Arabidopsis thaliana: one gene and its partner. The protein of the gene in region 2 interacts with the protein of the main gene of each other region in a pairwise test. Each region holds a gene or a part of one and is shown on either strand. Other genes may lie near its edges. The genes, in order: AT4G36590 and AGL38.

Region 1 (3,861 bases), on a different chromosome or scaffold from region 2:
GTTGAAGAAGACTTAACTGATAAAGTGATTTCTGAGGCTGCAAAGAAGACAGAAGGATTCTCTGGCCGTGAGATTGCAAAGCTTGTGGCTGGAGTACAAGCTGGAGTGTACGGACGAGCGGATTGTGTTTTGGATTCACAGCTTTTTAAAGAGATTGTTGAATATAAGGTTGAAGAACATCACCGAAGGCATATGCTTGCTTCTGAAGGTTTTCAGCCATTACTCTTCTCTTAGTCATTTGGATTTTGATTATACATGTCATTTACTTGATCAGAAAGAAGAATCTGATTGTTTTAAAATGAGTCCTAAAATTGAATTTTTAGATTAAACATGTTAAAGAGTTTTACAGAATCTTGAAGTCTTACATATGAACACTTCTCGTTGTTAACATTAGATTCATTTCTGTCTGATGAGGGTTTCTTAAAAAATTGTTTTGTTCATTTGTAAATCTGGTTTGATTTCAGTATATAACATTAAGCTTAAATAGCAAAATAAAAATAAAAATATAAGTAAAATTAAAGGATAAATAAATTTATTCTGGATACAAAAATATCCAAAAACAAAGGAAAACAAACGACGAATAAAATGAAAAACCAACCAACTGAAACAAATTAAAAGAAAAAACAAACTTAAGTCTCACAATACAAGAACAATCCTAACAGTAACCATAGCCAAAATAACGCAAATATTGATTAGGATGTTCTTCTAGCTTCAGACTCTAGCTCTGGTTGAAGTTGTAACTTGACATGTAGTTCATGTTGGATATCGGAACGAGAACTCCATCATTGTTGTATCCAAACATTGGTGGTGTATGATTGGGAAACACCATGTTTGGATTATAGTTGAATGCATTTCTTCTTTGATCAAAAAGATCAATGCCAACATTACCACCACCAATCACGCCAGAACTTTGACCAAAGTAATTCTGCGAAACATTTACTTGAGAATATTGAGACATTTCTCTTACCAGTTTCTTTTTCACATCTTGAAGAGCAGATATCAGCTGGTTGGTTTCATTCATGTCGAGATCTTTCACATCTTTTTCATACCAGTTTCCTACTTGTTCTCTGGATTCTTTCAATAGGTCCAAAACCATTCTCTTCTGTTTCTCCTTTTCCTGGTTTGCCAGCACCTGCAATGAGATTCATTTCATCATGTTGTGAAAAAAACGAGATATGGTTTATATATTTGAACATTTTGAAGAAAACAATCTAACTATGGATACCATTTGATATCTTTAACAATCTAACTATGGATACGATTTGAAAACAATCTAACTATTGATGGTCTCTTTTTCCCTTAACAAATTAAGTTATAGACATAGAATTGGCATATATATATATATATATATATATATATATATATATATATATATATATATATATATATATAATTCTCTTGCATTTTTCTTTAAAACAAAATTGTTTACCTCAGTGAGTATATTGTTGAGATATTGGATATTTCTATCCGGACGGGTTTCAACAAGTTGGAGATTGTTGTTCTGATGATGGACAATGGCAGAATTATGGTTAGGATTCGAAAAGCGATGAATGAGTTCTTGAACACTTGGATGGCCAAAAGAAAACACTTTCCCACCAGGAGAGAACACAATCAACAGAATCTCTGCACCACTTAATGTGCAAAGTTCACTAGCTTTTTTGAAAAGACCGAATCTTCTTTTTGAGAAAGTAACCTGAAGGTTGCTTTCGTTTTCCATTTTTTTCATCTCTATTTTCTGACGACCTTTGGTACTTCTCACCATTTTCTCAAAAATTTGAATAAACAAATGACAAATTTGATGCTAAGAAATAAAATATGTTCTTTATATTTATACAGGTGTATTACATATGGAAATGTAATACATTATAGGTCCATTATAAGTAAACATAATCCTTCAACCCTTAATTTTGCCAAAAAATTAATTTTCCAATTTGAGGAATATTTCATAATTATCTCTGAAATTTCTTAAGGACATAATTATCTCTAAAATTTCTTAAGGATATAAAATTCATGATATTTCAAATGCAATATCATTATATTAGTTGGTAAATGCATAACAGTTTGACAAATGTATGCACCAACTGCCCATGAGAGGCACATTAAAATTTTATGAGCTGTTTGTTAAAATACTTAATCTATATTTTTGGGAAAAATCTTGAACAAAATTATCCATTAAATTATTTGTTTGTATACAGCTAATGCAAGTAATATTTATACAGTAAAACAAAATTTATCTATTTTTGAGATATCACAATCATTACTAGATAAAATATACAGTTGTACTTTACATAATAAAAAAAATTATTAAATGAAATTCAAAAGATTTTGAGTTATGGGCCCAAATTTTTTTAATTTAGATATATACCATTTACTAGATATATTTTTCATAATGATAGTGAGTTATGTTTATTGAAATTAACATTTCTAAGATATAAATAAAATGATTTATACTCAAATATTGTTGATTTTTAACTATCTTTGTTCTTAAATAAAATGTTTGAATATTACAATAATCATTATTGATTCTTATAAATATTTTAAATTATTTTATATAATTGATTTTTTGTGAAAGTTTACACTATCTGACTTATCTTATTAGAAAACTTTGTAATTGTATCGTCAAAACGTTTAAAATTGGTGTCTTCTTCACCTCTCTCACTTTCGGTTGGGCTCATGCTGGGTTTCTTGTTGGGCTTAGTTTTGTTTTTTTATGGTTTAAATCAATTTTCTTGGTTGAACCAAAAAAAAAACAGTTTTCTTTAAAAATGAGATGACAAAAAAAAAACATTGGATTAACTAAGAAAGGTAAAAAAATAAACACTTTCTGATTTACCTTTTTACTGGATTATCCGGTTTGTAACCCTGCTAAGCGCATGGCTTCGGTTTTCTAAACCGGTTATTTTAATCTTTCCAAGTATTGAAACTTCCTCTACGCGACCGGCCACGTGACCTCGGGTCGGGAGACACTAACCCTACAAAATCGAACCACAAGTGGACACGTCGCAAGCACTTCCAGCATAACCGCCTCTTTAATTGCCACGTAAACATCGAATAACCACGTAATCATCGAATAACCACGTGTCTTACAATAACCGCTTATCTAGTGAAAGAAAGGAATGTGATCTCTCCCTCTCTCGCTCATCTATAACTAGAAACTTCCTCCATGAAGATTGGAACCAAGAAACAAAACAAAAAATCGGAATTTTAAAGAATAGGAATAATGGAGAGAAGAACGTTGATGATGATTATGATGCTTACGACGGTGGTGACGCTGACGTGGCAGAAGCAATGCTATGGATGGGGAACGGAGACAGCAGAGGATATGGTTAGAAACGAAGCAGAGCATGCTAAAAACGCAGCCGAGACCGCTAAGAAAATGGCGTCCGATGCGGCTCATGACACAAAGGACAAAACCGCCTCTTGGGCTGGTTGGGTTTCCGACAAAATTTCCACGTAAGCGTTAACTTTTGTTTAGGCATGATCATACTTCTATTTTGGATCTGTGTTGGTTTCTTCTAATGGAACCATCTTCTCATAGTGTTTGATTTCAAATTGTAAACGTAGATCTGAGTTTTGTTTTAAGAGAAATTTGAAATGTATATATATAAACGCATGTTACGCATCATTTGCATTTCAAACTGTGAAGTGATTTAAGAATGATAATATATAGATGATTGATCCAATATTGTAACAGAGGATTGGGAGGCAAGAAAGCTGAGGCAGAAGAAGCGGCTGAATCTGCGAAGAACTACGCTTATGACAAGGCTGGATCCGCCTATGACAATGCGGGTTACGCCAAGGACTTTGCATCAGACAAAGCCGGATCTGCTTACGATAGTGCTCATAACGCAAAACATTATG
Region 2 (3,734 bases):
TCAAGTGCAGAGACTAGACAATATCTTTGAATATGTTTATTTATCTGACACTGTTATTATTGTAAGAGATGTTTTATGTCAAATGTTTGTTCCAACTCTCTCTATTGCGTTAGCGTAAGTAACCTGCAAGATCTGTAAATTAATTACTAATTGTTATTTATTATTCACACATGGGACATCATAAAGTTGTCTTGGTGATAAATTTAGTCAATATGTGTGTGTGGGTTAAGAGTGTTGACTATACCAGTTTCCCCGTGATTGATTGGCTTTTATTAAATCGGACAATTTGCATTTATATTCACAGGTCATGTTTATTAAACTCTACATTGCTGTCTAATGTCTATAGTACACCAAGTCTATTGGTGATTGAAATGTCGGAGAACGGTATAGTTTTTCTGTTCTTACAATAAAAAGGTAGATTAAGAACACTGATTAACTCAATGTAACCCATACACTTACACGTCGGGTCAATCTTGAGCGGTGATCTTTTGGGTTTACCTCTAACCCCGGACTGGTTAAACACTTTTCTCACCTCACCACATCAAAGCCATAATCAGGGCCCAAATTTGAGTGCCTACAGCAAAAAGATTTTGGCCCAATAACAAAAAACTGTTTTTTAAAACAATTACAAAATTTTCGTCTAAATTAGATTCAAAACTGTATAGTAAAATGTTTGGGACTAACCACTAAACTACAGTCACATTTTTGAAAATGATGACTCTAAAACAAGTTATAATTATTTGCTGCGTAATACCCTTGCTTCATGGGATTACGTGGAGAAGAAGAGTAAGTATCAATCAATTTATTGCTAGAGATTTGCAAAAGGGGGAATCCGTGTGCAGAGGTGTCTAGATGAAGCCATGAGTCTACAGCGGAGTTTGAATTTGCGGTGGATGAGTTACGGTGGAGATGACATTTTCCAAACATTACAAGCCTTAACACGTGTACCTACTGAGATTTTGATAGAACTTGAAATTGTTTCCCAAATAAACCTCTTATTCGGAAGTTAGGTTTTGGACTCAAAATGGATGGGATGCATCATGAGGTATGAGATATGTTTCCCAATGTAGTCTCCGGCGATGAGATTCTTTATCACCATTTTTATTTAACGTTAATACTTAAATCTTTGTAAGACAGAAAAAGAATAAGATGTTAGTCAAGATTAGAATAACGAGACCTAATTTGTGAAATTTTCCGTAGCTTTTTGTGGATAATAGTTTGTTTAGTAAAACTGATCCGAATTAATGTGAACTCGTAAGACTCCTCCATCTCAATGGAGCGGCTAATTAGAACAACTACTAAATTGTGACAAATCTAAGGTTGTCTCACATAATTCAAGAGTTTAAAATATGGTATAGTCTTAGATATAGATATCTTATACCAATATTCATAATTTGCTAAAGCTAACTAGACATTCCTAGATAATTTACCGCCAAGAAAACTAATTAATTGGATATGTTTTTCTTTTCTCTATAATTTTTGTATATTTAATTAATGTAAATATACAAAATTATATCAAATATATTATTTCCTTATATGTTTCATTTTAATCATTTTTTATTAAAATGAATAATTGGACACCTAGATAGCTAGGCCAAAACAATTTTTGACATTCCATTGACTTATTTACCCAAAATGGAAAGTGTGGGTGATTCTGGCTGTTTAGATGCTTAGACATAATCTTACTTTCTATCCAACTAATTATTACCTGTAACTGTAAGTTTCAATTTTAGGCATTTTATATTAATTATATTAAAATAAAAATAATAACAAATAGAAAAATGTATAGAGAAGAAAATATCTTAAATTACCTTTGAAATATATATTTTCCTTTAAATGGACTTTCTATATAAAAAATAAATCACATTACATATATGATACAATTTTCCCCCTAAATGTCTGGTTTTATGCCCCCCAAAAGGTAAAATATCTATATGGGCTGTCTATAAAGATAAATGATTATCACTTTACCATCAATCACATGCCAACACGTAAGGGTGAAAGTAATACCATATCCTGAAAATAAAAATTGAAAATAGTCCAGCAAAGCAATAAGAAACACATTTTATCTAGTATATAAACAATCGTCCTCATGCTAACAAAGCAAAACACATATAACAAAAACAATAGATATGAAGAGAAAGATGAAGTTATCGTTAATAGAAAACAGTGTATCGAGGAAAACAACATTCACCAAAAGGAAGAAAGGGATGACGAAGAAACTAACCGAGCTAGTCACTCTATGTGGTGTTGAAGCATGTGCGGTCGTCTATAGTCCGTTCAACTCGATCCCGGAGGCTTGGCCGTCAAGGGAAGGCGTTGAAGACGTGGTGTCGAAATTTATGGAGTTGTCGGTGTTGGACCGGACCAAGAAGATGGTGGATCAAGAGACTTTTATAAGTCAAAGGATCGCCAAAGAAAAAGAGCAGCTGCAGAAGCTACGTGATGAGAACCATAATTCTCAGATTCGGGAGTTAATGTTTGGTTGTCTCAAAGGGGAGACGAATGTGTATAATCTTGATGGAAGGGATCTTCAAGATTTGAGTTTATATATTGATAAGTATCTTAATGGTCTTACTCGCAGGATTGAGATCCTTATTGAGAACGGTGAGTCTTCTTCATCTTTACCTCTTCCTATTGTTGCGAATGCAGCTGCACCAGTCGGATTTGATGGTCCTATGTTTCAATATCATAATCAAAATCAGCAAAAGCCGGTTCAATTCCAATATCAGGCTCTTTATGATTTTTATGATCAGATTCCAAAGAAAATTCATGGTTTTAATATGAATATGAATAAGGATTCGAATCAAAGTATGGTTTTGGATTTGAATCAAAATCTTAATGATGGAGAGGACGAGGGCATTCCTTGCATGGACAACAACAACTACCACCCCGAAATCGATTGTCTCGCTACCGTCACCACTGCCCCCACTGATGTTTGTGCTCCTAACATCACCAATGATCTCTAGTCTAAGGGATGTATTTCGAGTGAAGTGTTTGATCGTTTGCATTTGTGTTTTCTCCATTTTATAAGACAAAACTTATATGTGATGTCTTTTTTATTATTATTAATTGTTGGACAATTCTTGCGTCCACACTTATCTTATTTACCCTTTCTTAAGTTCCTTATTAAACTTTACATTTTTTTTAACACCATCAAAAACTTTCTCTTTAAGTTGTTTATTACACTTTACATTTATTTTACACCATCAAAAACTAAGGTCACTAAATAAAAAAAACTATGAAGCCTCATTTTCCCATAGGAGCAATGTGAGACATAGACAAATTGAGTAAACAATTACATCACTTGGTAAACAATTTTTTTAATATTTAATTAGTATTGGTTGTTATTGATTTAAATTTTATATCACTTTCTAAATAATTTAAAATCGTATATTTGTATCAAGTGATGCAAATGGATTTAGATTTGTATCAATTTTAGTGAACTGATGCCACATAAACTAATACGACATCGATTATTGCAATTGATGTTAAACTATAATTCTTGTATCGATTGTAAACAAGTGATTCAAATTAATAGCATTCAATTTTTTTCATGCAACTACTTTTTTGTTTGTAGTATTTGTTGGATAGAACGTAATGTTATGGCTTAACATTTAAACGGCCAGAACTATCCACACTCTCCATTTTGGACAGATCAAGCAATGGAAGGTCAACATTGTTTTGGCTTAACCATCTAGGAGCCCTATTTATTTGTTTTTAATTACATTTTA

The links.
Region 1: the proteins of AGL38 (region 2) and AT4G36590 interact in a two-hybrid assay, tested with the Arabidopsis thaliana proteins (one large-scale study listed by BioGRID).

The regions. Positions count from the first base shown.
Region 1 is NC_003075.7:17,260,428-17,264,288, forward strand, and holds AT4G36590 (MADS-box transcription factor family protein), read right to left. Parts: upstream 1,801-3,861; 5' UTR 1,763-1,800; coding exon 1,430-1,762; intron 1,133-1,429; coding exon 719-1,132; 3' UTR 510-718; downstream 1-509. Other genes in the region: AT4G36580 (AAA-type ATPase family protein), read left to right, coding at 1-234; AT4G36600 (Late embryogenesis abundant (LEA) protein), read left to right, coding at 3,221-3,453, 3,695-3,861.
Region 2 is NC_003070.9:24,252,797-24,256,530, forward strand, and holds AGL38 (AGAMOUS-like 38), read left to right. Parts: upstream 1-2,132; coding exon 2,133-2,969; 3' UTR 2,970-3,061; downstream 3,062-3,734. UniProt on the Arabidopsis thaliana protein: Probable transcription factor involved in the development of gametophytes and seeds.